Linked DNA regions of Callithrix jacchus. The protein of the gene in region 4 interacts with the protein of the main gene of each other region in a pairwise test. Links are inferred from orthologs where the notes say so. Each region holds a gene or a part of one and is shown on either strand. Other genes may lie near its edges.

What was found.
Region 1: the proteins of CEP76 (region 4) and AKAP7 interact in a two-hybrid assay, tested with the Homo sapiens proteins (3 studies listed by BioGRID). The two-hybrid records come from large-scale screens. The link is inferred for Callithrix jacchus from reciprocal best matches to the Homo sapiens genes CEP76 and AKAP7.
Region 2: the proteins of CEP76 (region 4) and CRYBA4 interact in binary tests that used the Homo sapiens proteins (3 or more experiments, as listed by UniProt). The two-hybrid records come from large-scale screens. The link is inferred for Callithrix jacchus from reciprocal best matches to the Homo sapiens genes CEP76 and CRYBA4.
Region 3: the proteins of CEP76 (region 4) and KIAA1143 interact in binary tests that used the Homo sapiens proteins (3 or more experiments, as listed by UniProt). The two-hybrid records come from large-scale screens. The link is inferred for Callithrix jacchus from reciprocal best matches to the Homo sapiens genes CEP76 and KIAA1143.
Region 5: the proteins of CEP76 (region 4) and BANP interact in binary tests that used the Homo sapiens proteins (3 or more experiments, as listed by UniProt). The two-hybrid records come from large-scale screens. The link is inferred for Callithrix jacchus from reciprocal best matches to the Homo sapiens genes CEP76 and BANP.
Region 6: the proteins of CEP76 (region 4) and PARD6B interact in binary tests that used the Homo sapiens proteins (3 or more experiments, as listed by UniProt). The two-hybrid records come from large-scale screens. The link is inferred for Callithrix jacchus from reciprocal best matches to the Homo sapiens genes CEP76 and PARD6B.
Region 7: the proteins of CEP76 (region 4) and NHLRC2 interact in binary tests that used the Homo sapiens proteins (3 or more experiments, as listed by UniProt). The two-hybrid records come from large-scale screens. The link is inferred for Callithrix jacchus from reciprocal best matches to the Homo sapiens genes CEP76 and NHLRC2.

Annotation. Positions count from the first base shown.
Region 1 is NC_133505.1:137,944,879-137,948,008, reverse strand, and holds the end of AKAP7 (A-kinase anchoring protein 7), read right to left. Parts: intron 2,505-3,130; coding exon of another isoform or gene 2,308-2,504; exon of another isoform or gene 1,651-2,307; coding exon 1,445-1,650; 3' UTR 501-1,444; downstream 1-500. UniProt on the Homo sapiens protein: Probably targets cAMP-dependent protein kinase (PKA) to the cellular membrane or cytoskeletal structures.
Region 2 is NC_133502.1:197,352,606-197,356,584, forward strand, and holds the start of CRYBA4 (beta-crystallin A4), read left to right. Parts: upstream 1-1,179; 5' UTR 1,180-1,187; coding exon 1,188-1,208; intron 1,209-1,808; coding exon 1,809-1,859; intron 1,860-2,447; coding exon 2,448-2,566; intron 2,567-3,979. UniProt on the Homo sapiens protein: Crystallins are the dominant structural components of the vertebrate eye lens.
Region 3 is NC_133516.1:27,524,864-27,529,001, forward strand, and holds the start of KIAA1143 (uncharacterized protein KIAA1143 homolog), read right to left. Parts: upstream 2,801-4,138; 5' UTR 2,788-2,800; coding exon 2,680-2,787; intron 823-2,679; coding exon 678-822; intron 629-677; exon of another isoform or gene 39-628; coding exon 1-38. Other genes in the region: kinesin-like protein KIF15, read left to right, coding at 2,881-3,067.
Region 4 is NC_133514.1:49,805,184-49,808,683, reverse strand, and holds part of CEP76 (centrosomal protein of 76 kDa), read right to left. Parts: intron 3,420-3,500; coding exon 3,234-3,419; intron 2,491-3,233; exon of another isoform or gene 1,973-2,490; intron 1,722-1,972; coding exon 1,624-1,721; intron 1-1,623. UniProt on the Homo sapiens protein: Centrosomal protein involved in regulation of centriole duplication. Required to limit centriole duplication to once per cell cycle by preventing centriole reduplication.
Region 5 is NC_133521.1:45,581,195-45,585,435, reverse strand, and holds the start of BANP (protein BANP), read right to left. Parts: upstream 2,801-4,241; 5' UTR 2,717-2,800; exon of another isoform or gene 1,329-2,716; intron 1-1,328. UniProt on the Homo sapiens protein: Controls V(D)J recombination during T-cell development by repressing T-cell receptor (TCR) beta enhancer function. Binds to scaffold/matrix attachment region beta (S/MARbeta), an ATC-rich DNA sequence located upstream of the TCR beta enhancer.
Region 6 is NC_133506.1:46,271,386-46,275,580, forward strand, and holds the start of PARD6B (partitioning defective 6 homolog beta), read left to right. Parts: upstream 1-1,395; 5' UTR 1,396-1,601; coding exon 1,602-1,667; intron 1,668-4,195. UniProt on the Homo sapiens protein: Adapter protein involved in asymmetrical cell division and cell polarization processes. Probably involved in formation of epithelial tight junctions.
Region 7 is NC_133513.1:106,805,814-106,809,313, reverse strand, and holds part of NHLRC2 (NHL repeat-containing protein 2), read right to left. Parts: intron 1,353-3,500; coding exon 897-1,352; intron 1-896. UniProt on the Homo sapiens protein: Required for normal embryonic development.

The DNA.
Region 1 (3,130 bases), on a different chromosome or scaffold from region 4:
AGCAGTGAGGCCTTGGATAAGGTGTGCCACCTCTTGGAGTCTGTTCCCTTCTTTGAAACACAAGGCAAGGCCAAAACTATCTTTGCTTTCCACCTTAAGGATTTACTTAAAGAACCCATCTACAAACAGTCAAGCCCTCTACCACTGAAAGGGGTTTCACAGCAAACAGCTGCAGGATTCTGCACCTGGATGGATCTCCACTTTTCATCTTTGCTAGGATGTCACATCACTGGCACATTCTTAGCTGTTTAATTCTCGGTGAAGCTGAGAATTTAGATTTTCTTTGAATTTAAGGTTCTGCTGTTAATTCTCGGTGAAGCTGACTGATTTGATACGATTTTAAAGCATGAAGTTGATGGTGCTTTGACCACTGTGCGACCTCAGCATGAAGGACAGGAACAGAAAGGTGAAGCAACACCGAAGCTGTCAGAGCTCCTGTTGATAACTTCCTTATGCCAACATAGATCCAGCTACTCCCAACAGTGAAGAGATGAGAAAAGGCAAGGGAAAACAGTATGTTTATTAAGAGCCAGGAAAATGCATAAACTCATTTGTAAATAAATGTAGTATAATTTACTCAGTGAAAAAATAGCTAAAATCCATGAGTAAATTGGATTTTATATTTGAAATGATTTTACACATTTGATCTCCAGTGATTTCCCTCTATCATGATCTATTGGTAGCAGCCATTTTACAATGACTATAGAAAAAGCTGTTACCAACAATCACCATAGCAGGGAAAGGTTTTCCAGAATGCTCTTTAAAACCGAACCAGTGCAAACACATTCAGATTACAAGGGATCTGATAAGTCCTGGAGCTTATCTTCGAAAATGTAAAAAATAAAAATCCCAAACATGAATTCCTTAAGAAATGAAAAAGCAAACTACATTTTGATCAGTGAAAAATATTATAAGGATATATAAAACATTCTTAACCAGTGATCGCAATAATTACATTTATAAATGTTCGTTCAAGTACTATTGTTCAATAAACATTCAAATTCTCATTAAAAGTAACACTAGATATAGACACACCTGGACAATGCTTCTTTTGATTTAGCAACAATCATGTCAACAGGAGGCAAGTGACCCTTCAAATACTGTTGTTGGCTCTGTTTTGTTCTATTTGTCTGTGAATGGTTTCTTCACAGTCTGTATTTTCTTCTGCAAGGACCCAAGAAATATCTCACAACGGCTAATTAAGAAATCATTTTTATAAAATAACTCTCAATATCACAGAAACAGACATTCTAAAACACAAGTTTAGCTCAAAAAATAACAGGGCAGAATGAGTTTTCTTTGGCAAGAAATTGCTAATTCCTTACCAAATGTTGGTTTGCTGTTGTGCAGACACTATCAGAAACTTCTTTGGTGTATACCAAAGAGCTACTTGGTAAGCTGGAAAGATTTCAGGGGCTATGTTGCCACAATTGCAATGTAGAGCTTATGTCAAAGTTGTGCCAAAAATAACATCATTTGCTGGATTACTGTTATTAATAAGTCTTCCTTCAAAAAGCTCCCTCCTAATTTTGGCCTGAATCTCAGGCTTTAATAAAAGTTCCTTTATCTGTTTCACTTTGGACTTCAGACCCATCATTTCTCGATGCAAAGCTTCATTAATTAATTCTTGAATTCCAATAGGTTTCTTGCCTAAGAAAAAAAATTATATAATACATTTCATTAAATATGGCATACTGACTTATCAAAATAGGATTTTAAAAAAACTTTAAAATGTTGCCCACATTTTATAGAAAAGGTTGCATTTCACCAAAATATATCATTTACATGAAACATAATTTACTATAAATAAAGATCACTGCATAGCAACAGCACACTTAGGACAGACATGAAACATTATGGACTAATTGTACAGATGACAATTTCAACAGTGATTATTTTAAACTTAGCACTTGATAGCTGTGTGTGAGAGTTCTGGCCTCAGATAAAGTAGTCAAATGCCCTGCTAAGCAATATAAATGGCAGTATTCCATTGATGGCAAGGCCTCTTTCGCGGCCTGTAATTTGTGTCCAGGAGGCATAACCCAAAGTTCTCTCTCCCTTGTGCATGGCTGAGGGCGAGTGAAACTTGGGCCATTCTTCTTTCATAAATTAATTTCCTTTGCCAGTCCCAGCACTCCATTTTTCTTGTTGTGTTTCAGAAACGCCATCACATCGATCATGAAAGTATTAGGCAATCTCCACAGACTGAACCAGAGAAACTTAAACAGCACGCTGCAAGTCAGTCCCTAGACTCAGCAGAGGGGAGCAGGGATGCTTTACACAGACTTGAGGACCTGTGTTCAGGCCTCATTTCCTGTTGTTCTCATTGTCATTGCCATTCCGATCAGCTGCTTCAGTTTTCACAGAGCTCCCCTCCCCCGGCTTGTTTTTATTCTGTGTCTCCTCCAGATACTGCTGGACAGCCTTGAGCACCGCGTTCTCCACCAGCCTCTTACTGAGCCTTACCAGTTCAGCATCATCAGGCTCCCCTCCGTTCTTTTCACCTACATTCCACAATAGAGAAGAGAGGTCACTGAGATCACATTGCCATAGAAACTTGGCATGCAGGGGCCGGCTAGTTCCATTAGTTAAAAAGAGCAAGTGTAAATTGGATCTATAAATTCAAGAACAGTGGGTTGGCTTTTCATTTGGTATTTGCGGAAGTAGGAGCCTGTCTATTCCTGACGCCTTCAGATTGAAAAGTAGTTCATTAGTCCCAATCTAGACAAGCTCTACCTAGCAGCGCTGGCTGTTTCCCATTTATATGTGAATTTCGGTTCTTGTCTCATCCAAGGCTAATTACTACTACTAATGTCCACGTCCCCACCACGTGGAGCCTCAGACATGTGAATTCACTAAGTATATCTATGACCTCTTCTGATTCTCCAATATCAAATATCAGATCGAGATTTCCCTACGATCTCATTACTTAAGATCACTAATTTAAAAATGCGTGGCCTATAGCTTGGTTGTTAATCAATGCTCAGCAATGCCATGAAGAGAAAGGCAGTTACTACCATTAGGAACTGGTTTAAAATAAGCTTATAAGGCTAGTATTTTTTTGATGTCAGTGCTATCACTGCTATTGAAGAAATAGGAAATTCTTCAAAGAAAAATTATGATTATGATG
Region 2 (3,979 bases), on a different chromosome or scaffold from region 4:
GGGCTAATTTTTGTATTTTTTTAGTAGAGACGGTGTTTCACCATGTTGGCCAGCCTGGTCTTGAACTTCTGACCTCAGATGATCCACCTGCCTTGGCCTCCTAAAGTGCTGGGATTTCAGGCATGAGCCACTGCAACCGGCCTAAAGTCATGCATTTGATAGAGCTGCGTTTCACAGCCCTGAAAGGAAACAGGTGTGGCCACTTTACAGGTCTCAGGACTCAGAGATCCTCCAGGTCGCCCAGGTGTTAAGAAGCAGGGCTGGATTTCATCTCGGATGATTGGGTTTCCAGTCATGCTCTTTTCCTCTGCTGTAAGAGGCTCCTCTTAGGCCAATTCAGAGGGCAGGGTTTAGGGACAAGAGGCACACCGCAAATTGTACAAGTCCTGGATATTTGGCAAATGTGCTACAGTTTGCAAAGCATGTTTGCAAACAACAGTTCCTTTATGCTGCCCCCAGAACCATCTGGACTCATCTGCGGACCCAGCAGGCCCTGGGCTCGCCCTCTTCTCCTGCCTCACTTCCCTCCAGGTCTTCTGGGCTCCAGGCCAATTGGGCTACCAGCTCTTTCTTGTACATGTGCCCCAAGTTCCCACCTCTGAAATTCTTCTTCGAATGCCTCTCCTTCCATTCTGACTCTGTACAAATCTTCCCCATCCTTCAGAGTCTCGTTCCAATGCCTCCTCCAACAGGCAGCCTATCCTGATTGCTTCAACTGGAAGAGAAAGAGGAACGAGAGGAGGAATGGAAGAGGCATTTTCTCAATGTTTATTCAGTACCAGGCATGTTATATAACCTCGCAACGACTCTGTGATATAGTCTGTTTCTGCCCCATTTTATAGGCAGAAATTGAGGGGAAATGACTCGCCCAAGCTCACACAGCTAGGAAGGAAGCTTCTGGACTCCTCATCTAGTGCTCATTCTCCTGCTCTAGTCAGGAGCCCTGTGGGGCCGATGAAGGCAAATCTTCCACCTCTCTCCTTCGTGGTGGTTGATCCCTGGGGGTGGTGATCTGATCTATTCGCTCCCTGCTAAAGCCAGAGCTGCTGACAGCTTGCCATTGGCTCTTCAGCCAGGGCTGGCTTTTGTTTCTGCCGTCCAGTTGCTGAGTCGGGGATTTGTCTCCCAGGGGCCCCTCTTCCCTCCCTGCCTATAAGAGCCTGTCCTCGGCTGGTCTCAGATCTGACATGTTCCCTGGGCCTATCTCGGTAAGTCCCAGGTTTGGAGAAAGGGGTGGGATCAGAGTTCTGAGTGAGCATCCCGGGAGGCGAGGAGCCCAGGTCCCTAGTCCTAGGGATGTCACTGTGTCATCCTGAATGCCATCCTCATCCTAAGCAAGGATTAGCCCCAACCGTCAAGACCAGCGCCCGCTCCCTTCATTTAAAAACAGAATTATTCCTGTAGCCCTGTTGCCTACATTTCCACCATCAGAGCTACCTCTGGGAGCTAGGTGCTGTCTTTGGAAGGGTTCTTTCACACTGAGCATTTTAGCACTCACTGGGGCGATGCATCCACCCACCAGCAGCCAGAGAAAATTTCCCGAAACAAGCAGATAAAAGAATATTAAGTTGGGATCAGAGGCAAAGAGACCCAGCATGGGTGAGTTTTGAGATGGGGACAGGATGGAAGATGGCATTAGTGACAGATGGAAAGGACAGGAGAGAGACAGGCCAAAGCCACATATTGCCCCTAGCCCAGTCACTCCTGGACTTCTCATCTGGATCCTGACCAGGTCCTAACTACTCCTCTGCATAAGGAGGAGAGCAGAGGGTCAGGGTGGGAGATGATGACTTTCTTGTTTTCTGTAGGAAGGGGCCACGATGACCCTGCAATGCACCAAGTCAGCAGGACACTGGAAGGTAGGAAGGGGCATGGGGAGGGGGTGTCCAGGGCATGTGGGAGGGTTCCGGTCCCCAGGAATCCCAGGAGAAGGGCATTATGAATGCCTGTTTCGCAGAGGCACAATCAAGGCTCAGAATCAAGAAGGGACTTGTATGTCACATACAGGGAGATCAAATGTGCACTTGGGTCTGCTGGTTCCCAAAGTTGACTTGTTCCACTCTTGGCAGAGATTGCACAGTCTTTGGGTATGACTTCATTGACCATCTCTGTGTGTATTTGTTTGTTTTTGTAAAGCTTTTGAATTTATCACCAGCCTTTAAAAGCTTGGAAGAACCACGTAAAAGTCCAGAACTAGTGACTGTCTTGAGAAATTGGAAGGTCTGACCCATATTCCCAATTCCCACCTGGCAACCATTGGTGGCCACCCATTTACCTGGCGCCTGCGCTCTGTGGTTCTTCACAGTCCTCACCACCCCTGCCTGCCTGGCTCCTGGAGGCATCTGAGTTTGCAGTCCCCGCTTTACCTGCCAGATCCTGGAGTCAGCCCCAACCCCTCACCCTCCAGGGGACTCTGATGCGGATCTCCACCTTTTTTTCTGGCGCAGATGGTGGTGTGGGACCAGGACGGCTTCCAGGGCCGGCGACATGAGTTCACAGCCGAGTGCCCCAGCGTGCTGGACCTTGGCTTCGAGACTGTGCGATCTTTGAAAGTGCTGAGTGGAGCGTGAGTCTAGGGGGATACTGAGTTGGGGTAGAGGGTGGACAGGAAGGGACCGAGAGAGGGGTGTTAGGACTTTTAGATATTCTAGGTCCTCTCTTCCTAGGCTCTTATTGGTGTGCCCTCTTGAAGTGCTGAGGAGTGTGCAGGACTGCCATGTAAGGTTATGCAGGTTGCACACTGCCCAACAGTAGGAGGCTGTTGTTTGCACAGACCCTGACCACTGGATGAGGCAGCCCTGCAGGAGAAGCTCCTTAGAATCCAGTGTTGAGTGTAAAAATGTCCCTCCTAGCCATACATTGAAAGCCAACATCACTCACCATAAGTGGAAAGTAACTGTAAAAATACATGTAGTGTTTTAAATGCTATTAATTTTTAGCTAAATAGTCTTGTTGCTAAGCATGTGGCCCGATCATTTTTTGCAAAAATAAAATAAAATAAAAGAGAGTGTGAGAGAGAGAGAGAGATTAAGGAGATGTAGAGAGGTGTTAAGGACACGCTAATAACACACCAAGACTTTCTAGACCACTGCCCTTCAGTGGACCTCTCTGCAATGATGGAGATTTCTACACCTGCTGTGTCCATTTCAGAGCCACTGGCCAGAAGTGACCACTGAGGATTTGAAAGGTAGCCAACATGACTAGAGAACTGAATTTTTTATTTAATCTTAATTTATTTAAGTTTAAATTTAACATGTGGCCAGTGGCTACCATATTGGATGGAAGGTTCTAGAAGGTTGGAAAGTGGATAGAAAAGAGATGTGGCCAGTAGCTATGGATAGAAGGTTCTAGAAGGTTGGAAAGTAGGTAGAAAGGAGATGTGGCCAGTAGCTACCATATTGGATAGAAGGTTCTAGAAAGTTGGAAAGTAGAAAAGAGATGTAGCCAGTGGCTACCATATTAAATAAAAGGTTTTGGAAGGTTGGAAAGTAGATAGAAAGGAGATTTGGAGTCACTTAATGCTATGCCTGTGAGTGCCACCTGAGGTCATCTTGGGTGATTTTTACTCTTTTAGCTTCTGGTTTGTGCAGGTGGGAAAAGGGGATCAGATGAGAACAGAGGCTTTCTAGGGAGGGGTATGTCCAGCAGGCTTACAGACTCAGCCAGTAAGCAGACAATGAGCTCGGATAGATTCAGTTTATTACTTACACAGACAGCAAAAGCAAGGTGCACACGGTGTCAGCCTCCTGTGTCCCTTGTCCTATGGGGTGACACCAAAACAAAGGGGGCCGGATGACAGGCAGCCGAAATGGTGGGATCCCCGTGGCCGAAGATCCACTTTTATGCTTCAGCGATAGCCTGCTGCAGCCACCTGTGGGGCAGTGAGGTGGAACGCCCCACATCTCAGAGTGGCCAGAGAGGCAGATGAGGAGCTGCCACGTAGCCGTCTCCTGCAAGAGAGGGAGGAAAATGACAGACT
Region 3 (4,138 bases), on a different chromosome or scaffold from region 4:
ATATAGGATTCTTCCATCAGCAGAAGCTGGTTCTTCATCTGAGCAAAAACAGATTTTTAAGAACTTTCTTCTCTCCTCATTATTTTTTCTTTGAAAAATCTCATACTGTATTTAAGGGTGTCCCTGAATCTGATTCAGTCTGATCCTCTCCATTGTTTCTAGCTAGATTGCCCTCAAGACATGCAGTTACTGAATAAAAACTCACATGCTAAAGTATTCTATAATATTGTCAGGTCCCAGTTACAATTAGGTTGTATTTTTAAGTGTTTTGAAAGTGATTGGAACTACAGCATTTTCCCCTAAAGCAATGTAGTAAATGTTCAGAAATAATGAAAAATATACTACATAGCATACTGAACAGTAATGAAACAGACATTTTTCAAGTGGTTTATAAATCTAACCATCTATTTAAAAAAAAAAATAGGATGTCTTTACTTAAACTCACACTTAATCCTATAACAACCCAATGGGTACCATTACTTCCATTTTACTGATCAGGAAATTAAGGCTGAGCAGTGTAATAACTTGCTCAAGGTTACACACCTGGTAAGTGTCAAAGCTAAGGCTTGAACCTGGAACTGTCTCCTTGAAACATACCATGCTACTAAATAAAATAAACAATTTCGTACCCTGGGCTCCTTAAATTGTTAGAAAAAACAGATTACTTTCAGACCTACCTGCTCTGGCAGCCTTTATTTCTGCTTTAATTTTCATGACTTCTTCAAGTGATAGGTCTCCCTTTTTCAAAACCACCACTTGAGGCTGTTCATCTTCTTTGTCACTGTGATCCCCACCTTCATCTGGGAGCTGAGGCTGGATTCTCTAGGGAAAAACACAAATACAACATGTAGATCACTGATCTTCAGACAAACAGAAGCACTGCCTCTAAGAGAAACTGTAATTATTCGTGAGAAGGGTATCTTTATTGAGTAAGTGAATTTGGCAATTAATTTTAAAGTAACTCCAAAAAGACTGAGCTTGCCAAAGGGAACAGGTTTCACTGCCACTCACCCGGAAATGCCTGTCCAGTGATTCATTTCAATCTCAGCAGGACCCAGCTTGTAGTTACTAGTGTGTGGGGCTCTCTGCTTTGGGTACTGTTGTCATTCCTAGCCTACTCAGGCCAGCACTGTGCCATGTCAGTTATTTGCTCCTCATCAACACTCTTCACCTGTCTCTTCTCCGACTTAGACAAGAAATAAACACCACCGAAGTATAGAAAGCAGCAAGTAAAACGTACTCTTTCTCTCACCTCTGCTCATCTTTTCGCCCTCCTAATAATAGCTTCAGTTTGGTAGATATCCTATTAGCTATTTTCCAAGTCTATAAAACTATGTAGGTACATAAAACTTTTTGTATACCAATAACACTGTACATGCTACTGTGACTTGCTTTTTTCTTATTTATGAAATTTCTCAAATATGAGGTACAGAGAATAACATAACAGAAACCATGCACTCCCTGTCTGTGTAACAAATGGTAATATTTTGCCAGTTGATTCAGATTTTTGAAATCTCACACACCATAAAAGCCCCACTCCCTCAACTTAACTAAAAAAAAAATCTTTGCGCAGTGCTTTAAGACACACATAAAATTATTTGATTTTTAAAAAATCAATGCCTTGCATTTAATTACATATATGGTAATCTCATGATTTGACCAGTATTTTGTAAATACAAATTTTGCTTATTTCCAGATTTTTTTCTACTATGAAAAAACTTCATACACTTTTTTTGCTCACTTCTGGGAACGTATATGCAAGAACTTCTAATGTTAACAGTTACTAGAGGTGAAACTGTTGGGTTGAAAGGTATGCACACCAAAATGTGTGTTCACATGGTATTCAAACACAATCGCTCCTTACTCTACCTCACAGAGAGTCTTCCTTGTCTCCTAAACAAGGCAACAAAGCCCTGCCAAGAATTCACCTCAGCCCATAACCACAGCTTTATCCCGTGCCACTCTCATGGCATCTAGGCTCTAGCAAGGTTTGAGTACTTGGAGACTCATAAACATATTAGCTCCTTTGCTTTTCCTGTCTCTGAACAAATTCCTACTGCCTATTAAGCCCCACTGCCCCTGGCCAACTCATACTCAAGCTGCCTTCCAGATTTAGAGCCTCTGGAAGTATTTACCTCCTCTTCTTTCTTATGCTGTGCATAGCTCATAGGTAGCAAATATTTCTGTAAGTCCCTGCTGTTTCCAGCGTGGGTAACAGCCAGACCCCGTTTCAAAAAAAAAAAAAAGAAATCAAAGCCATTTTGTGAGGCTATAGCTGCCATGGATAGTGATTCCTCTGATGCATCTGTGTCCTTATCTGGAATACGGGACTACGCTGTAACTGTAACTCACCCTGCGAACTCAGCTTTTGAGGTAAACAAGTGAGAAAGAAGAGACAGGAAAGTGATCTTGCTTTACCATCATCTATCAAGGACCAGGCGGTTTACACGTCAGGTCATTTTCAGGAACACAGTAGCGCTCTGAAAACTACTGAGCTTCCTGAGCGTAGGGGGCTGTAGTCGCCTGAAAGTAACCAGCCTGGGGCCGTATTCCACCGGAACCGGGGCCGAGCGCGGGTGAAAAGTAGGACCCGACAGCACCCAGCCTCCAAGTAAAGGCAGAAATTGGAAGTGGCGGGCGGGCCGCGCTTCCAAAGTATCACGACTGGCGAGAGCTCACCTTGGTCTCTACAGTGGGCCCCTCCCTGTAGCCGACGCGTTCCTTGAAGCGAGCCAGGAACGCTGGCTCGGTTGGCCGCACGTAAGATACCTGGTTACGCTTGCTCATGGTAGCTCCGAGTAAACACAAGTTCCGCGACAGATTGGCGACGATACAGAGGCGAGGGCACTTACCTGTGACGTCAGCTGGGCCACGCCCCCGATGCGTAGGCCGGGCAACATGGCGGCCTCCTCGCGGGCGTCAACGTCTGAGCCAAGCGCCAAATTTAAAATCGCGGCCATCTTGAGCGGGCAGAATTCAGTCGCGCGACGCAGTCGGGAGGTGGGGGCATCAGCCACATTGTTCTCGGGAACGAAGGGTGAGGGCGCTATGGCGCCCGGCTGCAAAAGTAAGTGTGGAGCCACGGCTTCGTTACCCTATCTTTGTCCCCCAAAACAGCTGTGAAAGGATAGCAGCCTGTGACCACCCGCAAGGTTTTTGCTGGGCAGGAGCTGCAGGAACTGACTGACATGGGGCGGGAGCGGCGGGTGAGTTTGGGAATCCCTCTCTGTCTCTCAAAGACAATAGGCTGGCCGGAAAGCTCACCTCTTCCGTGTCCTCTGCGCATGCTAAGAGTCTGGCGTATTTATAGGCACTCGGGATGAGCAGTGGACCTGCGGTTCTTCCTTTTCTTTCCCTTGGTTCTGCTGTTTTTTCGCAGTCCTCTTCCCACATCCCGACCAGGGCTACCTCTCCAGATGTTCTTGTCTCACAATCGGCTTATGCTCCCACCAGCTTCTGCGTATTTCCACATTTCTGACCTTCCTGTAAGGAAGGATTTATTTATGTTCCAAACACTTCTTTCTCTTCTTTCCTTAGATAAATTGAATGTTAAAACAGATGTAAGCAATGTCTTTATATTCTCACAGTCTGTTTTCACTTAAAGGAGACCCGTCCGATTTCTTTCTCTTTTTCACGGAGGAGAGCACTGTTATTTTCGCTTCCGATAAACCCTTCAGTTTTCACTAGTCATTTGTTGTTCCTGTGTACGTGCGCCACCTCTTACATTGCCACGTCTCTTAAGGAGTCTTGTTTTTTAAAGCTGATTATGAGCCGATTTAATGGGATCTTTGTGAGTGGTCTGAATGGTAATGAGGAGAGGCCTAGATTTGGTGATTAAGAATTTGTGAACTTCTGTCATTTGAGCTTTCCAACAGTGTTAATGTTTCCAGCTTTCTGTCAATTGTAATTGCTTTTGATGGGCTTGTTGTTTTATTAACCTTTTAGGTCGATCACGTCATTATCTGAACACCTCTTTATGCTATCTTTTTCCGTCTAAAATATTTATTTTCCTTCATTATTTTCAGTATTCAAGGACAATGAACTCACAAAATAGTATCTTATCAGAGAGAAATGTTCATCCTGCTTTCTGAACAATCATACTGTTTTTTTTCCCACTTATAGATCAGGTCACTAAATT
Region 4 (3,500 bases):
CCAACTTACTACCCCAAAAATAGAGCCCAAACATTTACTTTATAAGCCACATAAATATAACATGATTAAAACTCATGTATACACATATGTAAAGGTGTATTTACACCTTTTATTTAAGAGACAGGTTGGAGTGCAGTGGTACAATCACAGCTCACTGTAACCTCGAATTCCTGGGTCAAGCAATCCTCCCATTTCAGCTTCCCAAGTAGCTGGGACTACAGGCATGTACCACCAATGCTTGACTGATTTTTAAAAATTTTTGTAGAGACAGGGTCTCATTATGTTGCCCAGGCTGATGCTGAACTGCTTGGTCTCAAAAGTGATCCTTCCACCTTGGCCTCCTATAGGGCTGAGTATTTATCTGAGTAACATCAAGGTTGGTTCCCACTATGTGTTTTCAGGTATATATATATATATATATTATTAACCACATTAATATAAATATAAATATAAATATATATATATTATTAACCACATTAATATAAATATAAATATAAATATATATATATATATATATATATATATATATATATTAACCATGACACATCTCAGATGCTAGAGATTAGAGGGAGATCAGAGTTTACAAAAGGAAGGAAAAAGAAGTTTAAAGAAAATAGGGCAGGACACTGCCTGAGGGAGAAGCACTAGCTTCTAACCACAGGTCTGTAAAAGGAACAATATGACAGGCAGGGTAGAGTAAAGGGTGATATATGTAATCAAGAAGAACCATTCCACAGGTGCCATCCCAGCAAGTCAGCAGATAATCAGAACCTGCAAACTAAAGACTGGCAAGAACTAAACAGAGATGACAAGTCCAATGTGAAGGAATGAAAAAACCTGCCAATCTTAAAAGACCCAAGAAGAAAGTAATTTCATCAGAGACCTGACAGTGGAATTAGGGGGGAAAAAAAAGCTTCTCCAAACACAATCTAGAAGTGGCAAGTTGGGCCAGGCGAGGTGGCTCACACCTGTAATCTCGGCACTTTGGGAGGCTGAGGCAGGTGGATCTCCTGAGGTCGGGAGTTCGAGACCAGCCTGACCAATGTGGAGAAATCTCATCTCTACTAAAAATACAAAATTAGCCAGGCATGATGGTGCACGCCTTTAATCCCAGCTACTTGGGAGGCTGAGGCAGGAGAATAGCTTGAACCCAGTAGGCGGTGATTGCGGTGAGCCAAGATCACACCATTGCACTCCAGCCTGGGCCACAAAAGCAAAACTCCATCTCAAAAGAAAAAAAAAGTGGCAAGCACTTCTACCCTGAGAGGACAGAGCAGAAAAGACATAAGCAGCAAGCTTTCAACAATAAATATCTATGAAAAAAATGTTAAAATCCCACCCCACTGAGGTTGCACTTTACTCCTTTGTCCTCTTCAGCTTTATCCTGTAATTCTCATGTTGTCTCAATAAATTTTCATCGTCTTTCCGAAACTAGACTACAGATTCTCCCAGGAAAACAAACTTGTCTTTATTTTCTTTCTCACATTTTCTGTAAACCTTTGAGTGCTAATCAAGAAAGTAATAAATAATTTTCTAAAGAAAAGAGTGCTTTCTAGGATCAACAGGTAAATACACTTCTATGAAAACAGACACACACAAAAAGAGAAACTCATTATTATTTACCTGTGTGTTCACTACTTCTTGAGATAAAGTTTGATTGAGTGGTGGATACATTTCAAGTTTTATATTTAAAATTCCCACAGAAACTTTTGATTCTGTGCCTATAAACATAAATATTTAGAACTTCAGAGATTTCAATACTATATATATTTAGCCAACCAAAGTCTAAACAAAATAATTTAGGCACTTGGTGTTTTATCACTTACATGAAATAAAGATAACATTCGACATTACCTTTAATATTCGTATTAAAAATGAACCAAATCAAAAATTTTTTTAAACAAAGATGTTTAATTATAAGGAGATTAACTATTTTCTTAGCTTTCTAATACATTTTTTCTTCTTTAAGTAGAGATGGAGTCTCCCTACATTCCTCAAGCTGGTCTTGAACTCTTGGACTCAAGTAATATTCCTACCTCAGCTTTCCGAAGTGCTTGCTGGGATTACAGGAATGAGCCACTACGCCCGGCCTTTCTAACATGTTTTAAGAAACTTTTCTGACCTAAAGGATTTCAGATTCCTATCTTCATTAAATGTAAAATGTCAACCAGACTTACATTAAATTTAAAGTCAAAGCAACTGTTAACACCTCATTCTGTCTCCACACACACAAAAAATTAGAAAACATTTATATTGTCACTTATAATAACTCCCATTTATCACTCCCCATTTTCAATTCACAGGCTGAGTAGAAATTTTCAAAACATGCCTGGATTTAAATTAGAAAACAAATATGCATCACATCAGAACTATTTAATGTTTCCTTAGAATATGCTTGTTTCCAGGTCACTGCTATACTATCATGTTAGGCTATTTTTGAAGACAAGTAATTGGGTATTGTTTTTGAAAATAAATTTCCTACATAAAGAACAGTTTTTCTATAATTTTTATTTAAAGAACAATACATTCTTTGTATGACTTATTAAAATCTAAATTAATAAGGCTATGCTGTCCACTGACAAGGTTTAACTCTGTGACTAAGTTTCAAAACCAAAGCAATTCCATTATATGTTATAGATAAAACATTGGTAGGTTTTGTTTTTTTCATTTTATTAGCAAATGTGTTATATAGCAGGCAGTGTGCAAGATTCCAAGAAGACTATGGCAATTAAGATAGGCACCATCTCTGCCCTCAAGAAGTACTTGATACTGACACTGAGCAAATTATTACTTCTAGGTCTCACTCACCCACTGTAAAAGGTTGGGAGAACACCTACTCCATATTTTGCAAGAATCACTGGTACTAAAGCGGATGTATTCCAGAGTGTGCTGGCTGGACACACCTAAGTTTGTATGTGTGTCAAGAATATTTTCTTTATAGACTATATTTAATCAAATGAACTTGAAAAAAATTAAAACCCTCAAAATTCCTATATTCATTTTCCAGAAAAAACAGTTCTCCTAAGGCAAGGTTAGATTGTGAAGTGCTATACTGATACTATTCTTTAAGACATTTCTCAAGACTAGGCTGCTGGAGTCCAATTGTAACTCTAATGAAATTCTATTTTACAAGTCTCCCTCTTGGATTATTAAAGCATTTTAAGGACAGAAAATATATTGCCAAACAAACTGTGGCTATAAAAAGGTTAACAATGATATAGTAATCATCATACCTACACCCATAAGTTCCACAGTCAGACTGGTCACTCCATTTTCTGAGCCCAAAACTGATCGCCATTCCAGAAAATAGGATGCTACTAAAGTTGTCTCACCAAATATGTCTGTTTTGATCAGCACCATATGAATTGGATCACTTATTGATAGCATTGTTGTTGAATCAGCCATTCTAGTTCCATCACCTAACAATATAATCCAAACGAAATTATACTACACTACATATTCAGTTAGGCCAACATAAAAGGATACTTTTATTAAAGAGT
Region 5 (4,241 bases), on a different chromosome or scaffold from region 4:
TGGCTCGTGTGCAGGTTACAGAAAAAGCTGAGAGGCTGAAGAAGGAGGGGACCTGACCCTACCCTGAAAACAGGGTACATGAGATGGAGGAGGCGGCATGTGACAGAAGGGATCCGTCACCCATCATAACACAAAGTCAAGGCTGAGTAAAAAAAGTATCAGCTTAGGCCAGGGGCGGTGGCTCAAGCCTGTAATCCCAGCACTTTGGGAGGCCGAGATGGGTGGATCACGAGGTCAAGAGATCGAGACCATCCTGGTCAACACGGTGAAATCCCGTCTCTTCTAAAAATACAAAAACTTAGCTGGGCACGGTGGCTCGTGCCTGTAATCCCAGCTACTCAGGAGGCTGAGGCAGAATTGCCGGAACCCAGGAGGCAGAGGTTGCAGTGAGCCGAGATCACGCCATTGCGCTCCAGCCTGGGTAACAAGAGCGAAACTCCATCTCAAAAAAAAAGAAAGTATCAGCTTAAAGGGCACGTTAAAGCCCACCCTGGGCAACAGGTGTGGCAGCTCATGCCTGCAACAACTACTAAGGAGGCTGAGGGTCACCAGGGCTGGGTAGAGTCTGTGGAACACAGGGAGATCCTATCTCAAAAACAAATGAAAAGACCAGCTTACTTAGAGCTATGGAGAAGGACCTCAAGAAACCAGGCTTTGAAGAATGGGGCTGGGAGGTGGGGCAGGGGACACTGCTTTTCATGTAAGTCTTCCACTGACATGGCTGCTGTATACACTATGTTGATTAAAACACTGAATGGATGGGGTGTGTTTTTTAAGAACATCAGCTTAGAGAGACTGAACTGGAGCCCTGGCTCTGTGCATCTGCACACATGCCCTCAGCATCTGCAGCCACATCACCTCATCTATGGAGTGGGGGTCACGGTGAAGGATGCAAGATGTTGAGCTGCCCCCACAGCCTGAAGCTCTTTTTTTTTTAAAGATTAAAGCCACAGCCTGGGAAACAAGGCGAAACCCCCCCCACTATACAAAAATTAGCCAGGTGTGGTGGCACCTGTGGTCCCAGCTACCTGGGAGGCTGTGGTGGGAGGATCACTTGAGCCAGGGAGGTTGAGGCTGCAGTGAGCCAAGATCACCACACTGCATTCCAGCCTGGCAGACAGTTAAAATCCTGCCTCCAGAAAATAAAAACATTAAAACCAGTGAGCACAGAATCCAACATTGCTGAGAAACATTAAGTTTGCCCTGGCCCCGTGGCTCCCTTGTGGAGAGGACCTTTCAGTTAGTGGTAAGCGGGTAACAACTGCCTACCTGGAATATTTCTTGAGTTGTAAGTAAATACAGAACACCTGTTTATTAACAATAATCACCTGTTAACATGTGGATCGGAGCCTGCTGGGGGCCTTCAGCCTGGAATGCTGTCAGCCCCGAGGCTCAGCTCCGTAGGCTATGGGCCCCGCCAGACCCTCGATGCTCTTCTACCTGGGCGTCTTCCCACTGCCTCCAGCGCAGCCTGGGTGGAGGTCTCCCTGCCCAGTGGTACTTGCTGCAGCTTATGAATATATTCTTATTTGAATTGCAAGGCAGGGGAAATGCACCTACATACAGTTTCACCTCGTTTCGGTGTTTTCTTCTAGCACTGGGTATTTGCGAGCTGCGGGCGAAATGACCAGATCTAGTTTTAATTTGATGTTTTCTGATCTTCCTCAGAACCACTCACTACTCCGAGCTATTTTTCTGTCCCCCAAGAACTTCCAGCTACAAGTGTACCCTAAGACTGCCTCCTCTTATCGGTTATTTATTGCAGCGCAAGTTCCGCCAACGCCATCAGGCCCTGGAGTACATTCCCGGGCAGACAGGCAACTCCAAACAGAGAATGACCGGCTCCACATCAACTGTGCGGCCCGGGCCTCCCCGGGGAGGGTGCGAGCTCGCCACCGTTCAGAGCCCACACTCGTGCACCTGCTCACAGTTCTTCAGGGCTGATGTATCTCCCCAAGAGCAAGACAAGCCCTGCCACGTCCTCAGGGAAAAACCACAGTCCCCTCCAGCAAGGCACTGTCTCCAGTGCGCTCACACAGTGGGGATGGAACGTCATCTACTTTCTGCACCCCAGGGAAAAACAAACGGCCCCCTTTTTAGGGGCTGCACCACAGAACTCGCACACAGGCGCTGAGGAGGGGGCCCCCGGGAACGGGCTGGGGTCCTCGCCGAGCTCGGCGGCAGCCCTGAGATCGCCCGTTTCGCTGCGCGCCGGAGGCTTCCGCGTGCAAGTCCTGGGCTACTGGGGCTCCTGTCCACAGCCATGGAGGAGGCACAGAAACGGTGCCCGTCGCTCACGGCTGGCTGGCAGGAGCCACCCCCGAGGGAGACCTCGGTCCCCCGAGGAGCACGGGCGCGGTTCTAGGCCTTTCCAGTCTCCCCGCCGCGGCCCCGGAGCAGAGATCGGGAGCTCGAGGCCCCCGGGCCGGGCTACGGCAGCCGCGGCCCAACGGACGCCGGGGCGCGGCGGGGCAGGGGGTGCGGAAGCGAGGAAGCGGGAGCCCCTCTTCCGGGGCGCGGCCAGGGACGGGGAGCGAGGAGCTGGGGGCGCTCGCCCGGCCCAGACAGTTGGCGGCGGCGGGGCTGCGGCGCGGACGGCCCGGCGGGCGGGAGGGGGAGGAGGAGGAGGAGGAGGGAGGAGGGAGATCTCGCTCTCGCTCTCGCCCCGCGGGAAGGGGGAGGCGGAGGCGCGACCGGCTGCGGGAGCTGCAATTACCGTGTGGGCTGCGGAATTCTCGTGGTGTTTGTCGGGGAGATGCGATAATGGCGTCCGTCCTCGCGAGAGAAGCCGCCGCTCTGCGCAGGCGCCGCGAGCCCCTCCCCGCGACGCTCGGCCCCCGCCCTCCGCGCAGGCTCACTGGGCGCGCAGGCCCGGGGGTGGGGCCGGGGCCGGGGCGGGGCGTGCGGGCGGCGAGGCCCACTACGCGCACTTTTCCCGCTCGGCCTCCCGGTGAGCATGCGCAGGCTGGCTTCTCCCGCGACGGTATCGGCTTCCCAGGGCTTTTTTCCCCCCGTTTTTCGCCCACGCGCCTGGCCTGCCTGAGAAAACTCATCTCAGTGGACTGTCTGAAGAATTTGCATCTTCTTTGAGATGGAATGAATAGGCATTAGCTTCCTCAACGACTACATCTCCCAGGGTTCCCTGCGCAAGCTAGGAGCGATGCATTCTGGGACTCGTAGTGCCTTCGTCTGGACCCTGCCTGCCGGGACTTGTAGTCTCTCCGGACTCCGGTCGCGGCGTCCAGTCCCCGCACCAGGGGCTGCTGGGACTTGTAGTTACAATGATTCAGGTGGGCTGTGCGCCCCCAGCGGGTCCTACTTGCTGCTGCGACGAGTCCTGCCCTGAGGTTCCGGAGCGCTGGGAGGCGTGTTTCCAAAGATGTAAGTGGTCAGGGGTCCCCATTGTCCGTCCAGAGGGGCCTGAGTTCACGCGCGCGCGGGGGGGTAGCACACACAGTAGTGATTATGGTCTTAGACATTTCCTACATGAAACACATGCCTAAGTGATGGCGGCCAGGCGCCGTGGTCACGCCGGTAATCCTAGCACTTTGGGAGGCCAAGGCGGGCTGATCACTGGAGGTCACCGGTTCGAGACCAGCCTCGCCAACATGGTGAAAACCCGTCTCTACTAAAATTACAAAAATTACCTAGATGTGGTGGCGCAGTCCTGTAATTCCAGCTACTTGGGAGACTTACGCAGGAGAATCACTTGAGCCCAGGAGGCAAAGATTGCAGTGAGCCGAAATCTTGCCGTTGTACTCCAGCCTGGGCGACAGAGTGAGACTCCGTCTCAAAAAAAAAAAAAAAAAAAAAAAAGGATGGCATCGAATGTGCACACGTTATATTTTATGTAGAATAAATGTGCAAATGTGCATTTGTGGTAATCCTAGGAAAAAATTCCCAAAGTATAGGGCAATTCCTGGAAATGTCATTCCTGGTTATCTCCCTCTGTTTAACTGGACTGCATTGCCTTTCATTTCTTCTTTACACTCGACTCTGTTTTCCGAATTATTTGCAATGAGCAAGAATGCCTTTGATCTCCCAAACCCAGGGCAAGGGAGCTGTTTTCACTGGGAGAAGAAAAGGCTTTACCTTGATAAAACCAGGACTGAGCGCAGTCACAGGCCGTGCGACCATGGGCAACCTTACCGAGTCAAAGTCTCCTCCAGAATGAGGCCCAGAGGTTCCACTGAGGCTGGCGGCTGGGTTACTCACAGCAAAAGAACCTTACAAACACTCCA
Region 6 (4,195 bases), on a different chromosome or scaffold from region 4:
TGGGAAACCGGTACAAGTGTTAGGAGGCATCCGAGGTGGGCAGGGAGGTAAGGGGAGGAAGGCACTCAAACCACTCTTCTTGCCAGATCTAAAGCTGGACCCTCCTCCTCCACCTCCACTCCCCCACCCCCTTTCTGGTTTGCAGGTTTCAACAGCTCTTGGATTCCCAGAACCCACAGGGAGCCCTTGGGACTTGGGAATCTCCTCCAGCCCAAATCTTCAGTCTTCTCCTCTCCTCCCCATGGCCAACAGGGTCTGTGTGAAGAGAGGCCGGGCTCAGGGACTGGGACATTCAGAGAGGAGAATTCAGAGTTTTGTTGCTCTGGGACACAGCTTGGTCACTCCGGGAAACGAACACAACCCATTGGCTGTCATTACTAGAAACAGCGAATGGCTAAGGAATGGCGGGAGGAGGGAAGAGGACTTCAGAGGTTTAAAGAAAAAAAAAAAAAAAAAAAGCACTGGAAGACCGGACTAGAAATCCTCTGGGAGGCTGGGCCCGCAAGGAGCCTTCCCGCGCCTCAAGCCCACTTTCCTTCCCTCTCGACCTGACGAACTTAGGGCGTGCAGAGTCTCTTCGGACAAAGTCAAGCCAAGAGAGCCCTAAGCTTCTCCTCCAGCAACTGCTACAGAAGCTAGAAAACTTAAATTTTGCAAACAAGACTTGCAGCGGGACACCTAAGCGACGCTAAAGGGCGGTGGAGGGGATGCCGCTTCCCAAAGTGGAAGCGGGGAGGGGGACCGGCGGACACCAAACAGCCCCGTGGAGCCTCGGCCACCGGCAGCGCTAGGCGCCCCATCCCCAGAGCCAAGCGTGTGACTCGCGCGCCGGACAACGAGGCGCGCGCTTGCGCGTGCGCAAAAGACCCACCCAGCCGAGCCCTTCTTCAGGTGCGCTCGCGCTTCCGGCCGACCGCCCCGCGTGCTTTCCTCGGGCGGAAACTCCAGAACCCGCGCATGCGCCCTCTGGCTCTCCGGCTTGATGAGGGGCGTAGGTCCACGGCTTCAGGTGATCCCGCCCCTCCCTCGAAGCGCAGGACCAATCGCGCAGCGAAAGGCGGGGTTTTTTGAGGAGGCGGCCCGCCCACGCATCGCGCGAGGCGTGTATCGATTGGTTGGCGCCGCGGGCGCAGGTGCGCGTTTCCTATTGGGTGTGGGCGGAGCGCGAGCGGTTGCAGCAGCTTCGGGGGCGGCAGGTGAGCACGCGCACGCGCCGCGGCTGTGGCCCGGCTCGGGTGCGCGCGCGCGGGCTCGCGGAGGAGGTGGCTGAGGGAGAGGTTGCGGCGCCTGTGGCCTCCGCTCCGCCCCCTCCTCCTCCTCCTCCTCCAGCGCTGTCGTCGCCGCCGCCGCCGGGGCCCGGAGGGAGGGAGCTGCGTCTCCGCCCGCCGCACAGCCAGTCCGACCCTCGGTCCCGCCGTGTGAGCAGCCGACCGAGTGCAGCTCGGCGCAGACGCCAGAGGTGCGGCCGCCTTCTTTGCAGGTGCCTGTGAGGAGGCTCCCGGGCCGCAGCCGCCTTCCGAGCCCGCCGGCCGCGCACTCGCTCCCTGCTCTCCAGAGGGGCCGCCCGGCCGGAGGAGGCCGCCGCTGGCCCGGCGTTCAGCATGAATCGCAGCCACCGGCACGCGGCGGGCAGCGGCTGCCTGGGCACCATGGAGGTGAAGAGCAAGGTGCGCGGGGCACGGGCTGGGCGGAGCGGCGGGCCTGGGGGGCCAGGGCCTGGGAGAGGCTGGGCAGGTCTCGGAGCGCCGGGGGAGGCGACGGTCCGAGCTGCCCCGGGGTCTGGACGTGCGGGCGGGGGATGGTGGGTAATAAACTTGCCGAGGAGGGTGCGGCGGGGGTCGGTGGGCGCTAGTGTCCGTCCGCCCATGGCCCCGGCAGGAAGAAGATCTAATCCAGCGTTTAATCTCGTCCCGTAAATCTCATTCCCGTGTTCACGGCTGGGAGTAGGGGCCAAGGTATGCCCGAGGATGGCACACATTTAGTGGAATGCGAGGCGGCTCAAAAGATGTAGGGGAATCCTGCCTGCTGGGCTGTGAATAAAGGGCCCTGGACCACCTCGTTCCCCCTTTCTGGGGTTCAGGGGCGCATCGAGTGGCGAAGGAGAGAGCCCAGTGAACTAAATAGCCCTTGAAAAGTTCCCTTTGCTTCCTGCTAGCGCTCTTTCTAGAACTAACTTTGGTATGCATTTAATCTGTAAAATTAGCGCTATCACCTTACGCTGGAGTAGCACTTTACAGTTTGAGTTTGGATGCTCTTTTCATTCCATCCTGCTACTTACTTACATCAAGTGTTTTTCCCCTTGACCAGCGGTATGCCAATCTGCTGATAATTATTTCGGTATTCACTGAATTCCTAAATCGCAAGGCTCGGTGAGCAGGGGAGTCTGTAGGGATTAGTTAGGGAATGCCTTCCAAAGGGGGTTTTGAGATGGAGTTTGAAGGTGATCGGCAGCTACGGGAACATTTTCGACGAAGTTTCTTGAGTTGAAGAGTTAAAAGGAGCTTAGATAGTCTAGTCCAATTCTCTGAGAAGACTGAGGTTCAGAAAGGTTATGACTTCCCAAGCTCTTTTTTTGCAATGCCTTCATGCCTTTTTAACAGTAACTTTTAGGCACTGCAGAATACAAAACAGGGCACTGGCTGGGCCCTCGGAACATTTAAAATAGAATTGAAAAGGCCAAAACACAGAAAACGAAAAAATTGAAAGCGTATCAATTTCAAAAAAAAAAAAAGAAGTAATGGAGCGTCATAGATTGTAAGCCTACTAAGGAGTATGCAGAATCAAGGAGTGAGTTGAGTGGAGTAAGGAAAGCTTTCTAGAGCCTCTGGGTAGAATGGTTTTATTGTCTACGGTTGATAAGCAAAGTTCTGTAAGTTTCTGTAACTGAGAATCACATCGAGAAAATCTACATTTGTTTGTAACATCATTTAAAAATGTGATTTGGCACTGAAATGAGGATTGGCACTAGTTTCAGAATCAGTAAGAAGTGTAGTTATAGCAATTTAAGGAATGTTCGTGTGTCTGTGTGCCATGTGCACGGCATAGCAAATTGAAGTGACTTGCTTGAGCTATATAGCGTGAAGATGACCCAAAATATGTAGCAGAGCTTTTCCTCTAGCGGTATAGTGGCAGTAGTGGTTCCGTGCCCAGTGGTTGAACCTTCTTACAGCATTTCTGTTATAAGTCTCGTTTGGATTTGTGGGCGTTGAGGTTATGGAAAGAAAAACACTTGTGATATTGCATAATCTTAAAAATAAGTTTATAGCCCTAATTTGGGTAGCAAATCTTTAATTTTTTTCTCATAAAAAATGAGTTGGAATTCTGTTTTATCAGTATTTATCAGCATGCTGATAAATACAATCAAATAGTAGTTTATCTCTAGTACTAAGAAACCTTGAGTGCTTTAAAACTGGAATTTCAGGCTTTTTGCCTTTCTCTTGTCAACTGATTTTTGAATCTTTCACATACTTCTGTCTAAACTACATGTTGTATATTTGAACTGCCATACTGCACTTTTAGTGAACCATGTCTCTTAAGTAGACTCATACACTGATTCTAGAAACATGCACTGAATGAATGCACTGAATGCACTATTCTAGCTGTTGACAAATAGGCAAGGTATAGGTAGGGGAGTATTCCTAATGTGTCTGTGACACCTTCTATCTTTCAAATATATATTTCTGATACATTTATTTTCAGCGGATTGAAATATTTGTCATCTAATCATTTAAAAAATATTTGGAGGGGTTTTTAAAACAGTATTTCCTTTGACATTGCTTTAGTGATAGCACAGCTTTTTTACAACACTAATCCCTAAGAGTTTGTAACGAAATAGGTAGTGTGCAGGTCCTTTTATTAATTCTTTTATTTTTCGTGTCAGGATCTTGCTCTGTCACTGGGGCTGGAGTACAATGGCACGATCATGGCTCACTGCAGCCTTAACCTCTCGGGCTCAAGTGATTCTCCCACTTCAGCCTCCTGAGTAGTGGGATTATACGCATGCGCCACTACACCCAGGTAATTTTTTTTTTTAATAGAGACGGGGGTCTTGCCAAGTTGCCCAGGCTGATCTTGAACTCCTGAGCTCAAGTGATGCCCCCATCTCTGCCTCCTGAAGTACTGGGACTACAGGCATGAGCCACTGCACCCTACCTGGTCTATTTTTCTTTTCTTTTATTTATTTTTATTTTTTAAA
Region 7 (3,500 bases), on a different chromosome or scaffold from region 4:
AACAAAACAAATACCATGAAACACAACGCATACTGCATCTTGGCATATTAAGAATAACATCAAGGCACAGGAATACAACTAGCTTTTTTATATTAAGAACTAAGACATTCCTACTTTACATACTAATGCTGCATATATTACTAAAGCAGGACTGATTGCAAAAAGATATGAATTACTTTTGTCTTTGACTAACATGTTTGTCAGATGTCAGTTGAGCTTACATAAGCAGAATTAATAAGAATGTACTCAGTAGAGTTTATTAATTATGTAGATGTAACCAAGAGGCAGTTTCAGATCTAAGACCAGGGAGATATAGGACAAAATGATTTATGCTTCCATGATACTTACACATTATAAGTATCATGCTGCTACAACTATTTCTATTCTGGAAGTAGATCCAGAAACATGTTCAAGTTCTTATAGAAGAAAGGAGAGAAAATTATGTACAAATTCTGCTTATCTATTTTATAATCTACTTCTCAGGTTCATGGGGCACTGACATAATCTTTAAAAAGATAAGGCTATTCGTTTTTGGAAAGTGAAATATAATAATTCCACTTAAAAATGTCTGAAATCTAAAACATCTGTTTTCATAAGACACAGTAAGTCTGGCAGTTTTTTAACAAAACAAGGTTGAATATGTAAATATACCTAAAAGCTGAACTATTTCCTCTTTTTGACCTGAAGCTTTTTTGGTGTTTTGCTTGTTTTATGAGGGAGTAAGAAGAGGTTAATTCAGACATCAGACATTAATTAACAAAAAATTTGTGTTAGGAAGTTAAGTCCAGGTATATCACCTTTCTATAATTAGTTTTCATTCAGACATTTCAACTTTTATATTTACCTGAACTATTTTTTTACTGAAAACATGTATCATAATCAGAAGCAAACTTTACCTCCAATGCTATACTGAATTTGTCCATTCTTCCAAACGACCAAAATTCTATGATGTCCAGTGTCTGCTATTACCAATCTATTAGTAACTTGGTCTACTGTTACTTTGCCAGGAAATAGCAATGGTGAAGGTGGCAAAGAATCTTTATAGAGTTTTATTCCAATTTTATCATCTCTGATCTGCCCCCTGTCTTTGTAATACTTTAAAGCAATTGAAGTATATAAAAATAATTTGTCTTTGTGTCCCTCGCCAATCAAAGAAAACAACATGTTTCCTCGAGGTCCAAGTATGACTAGAGTTGGCCAGCAGGAAATTTCTAGTTCTTGCCAAAGGCTGGCATCTGCATCATTAACCACAGGGTGGGTGATGTTGTATCGAAGAACGGCACTCTTAATGTTATCCAGGACTTTTTCATTTGGAAACTTAGCTGAGTGAACACTAATAATGAGAAGACCATCTGAAAGGAAAAAATTATATGTAAACATTATTAAATATTTAAGTTTGAATATCATCATCCACACATTAGGTTTTAGGTCACTAACAAATATTAAAAGTCCTTAGATAAAAAAAACAAAAAACAAAAAGTAGAACTACACTGGGATCTTCAACTGCATTTTAACACACACATAAAAAACTAAGAAATTTAAATCTCATGACAATCTTGATGATTACATAAAAACAAATATGATTAAGTTCATATGGCTATTGCAGGATTAAAACTCTTTTTTTCTTTTATTTAGATAATGCTATAAAAATCGTCTTTATTTTCCTATGAAATGCTGAAATTTTTTCCACCTATAATAAAGTCCCTTTGAAACTCAGAGTTGATGATGCTGTTTTGGGGAGGTATTTATTGTTATATTACTCTCTTATTTTTTTTTAATCTAACCTTACATTATAGAGTAACAAAATAAATATAAGCAAGACGTTTCCATAATATAAAGCTTTTGATTTATTTAAAATTCTTATTGTATGCTTCTTAGAACAAACCTTTCTGTAGAAAGAACTGCTGAAAACAACATACTTCTTTTATCTAATCAATACATTATTTTAAGAAGTTAATACCAAAAACAAACAAACAAACAAACAACAAAAACCACCTGTTAGGCTGGATTCAGTAAAAAAATTCAATATTGACTACCAAGGTAGCAGAGATATAATTTCCCGGCAACTCCTACTTCCCTATTGCAACTATTAATTCTGAAACATGCTTGAAGACGGAGAAAAGTAAAAGTGACCAGGTAGATTGTACAGAAGGGTCAAAACTCAGAAAAGTAAATGACAGAAGAATGAGCTGCCAATTTTTATTTTCCTTTTCCACCCTTTTCCTAGCTTTGCCCTGAGAGTGGTTCCCAGGTTTAGAGCTGTATTAAGCACTAAAATTCCAATAGAAACCCCACTGCAATTCTGGCCCAAGAAACCACGTAACCACCACGTAACCTGGACAGTGTGGGAGAAGCCTGAGGGAAAGAGAGCTGGTGAAGGCAACTCCTTATTTCTGAGTATGAACACTTATAAGTCTTAGTTTAACCTCTAAACTACAGTGCATGGAACAGATTCAAAAAAGTATAGCAAGTGCTTGGAGAGCTGAAAACTGAATAACCGGGTTTATAGGAGAGAGAGCTGACGGAGATGAGACAGAAGTTGTAATCTGAAGTAAGAGGGTTGAATGCCTACTAAAATAAAGCTACCAATATTCCACAGAGGACTATAACAGGACCCATATCACATTCCAAAGTCCAGGATACAATCCAAAGTTACCTGACAGTCAAAGAAAAGAAAAAGGGAATATGGTCAATTATTGAGAGAGACAGAAAAAAAAACAATCAACAGTATCAATGCCAAAATAAAGCAGATGTTCAATTTACCAGACAAAGACTTTCAAGCAAATAGATAACTATGCTCCATGAGGTAAAGAAAAACACAAATGAAATAAGTAAAAAGATAGGAAACATAAACAGAGAAATGAAAAACTATAAAAAATAACTAAAAATTTTAGAACTGAAAAATACCATAAGTTCACTAGATGATCTCATTGGCAAAAAGGACATGACAAAGAAAAGGTTAATGAACTTGAAGATAGCTCAACAGAAATTATCCAATCTCAAGAACACAAAGAAAGAAGATTGAAATAAATAAATAAACAGAACCTCAGGGGCCTGTGGAACAGTTTCAAAATATCTAAGTAAGTATAACTGGAGCCCCAGAAAAAGTGAATAAATAGATTGGGGCAGAAAAAAAAATAAATGAATAATGCCCTAACTTTCAAAATTTGATTAAAAATATAAATTTAGAGAATTCAACCTCAGCACACACCAAATAGAATAAATTAAAATCATGTCTAGACATATCATAAACAAACTGCTGAAGGACACACACACACACACACACACACACACACACACACACACACCTTGAAAGCAGCTGAGAGAAAAGATGCAGTGAGGAATGGTTGCCTGAGGAATGTGGGTAAAGGGGAAGTGGGAAGAACCACACACCTGTTACGTTGGGCAAGTTACTTAACCTGTTCATTTGTTTTCTCATTTGTGAAATGAGGAAAATAACAGTAAATGCCTCATAGGTCAGGCAGATTAAAAGAGATAAT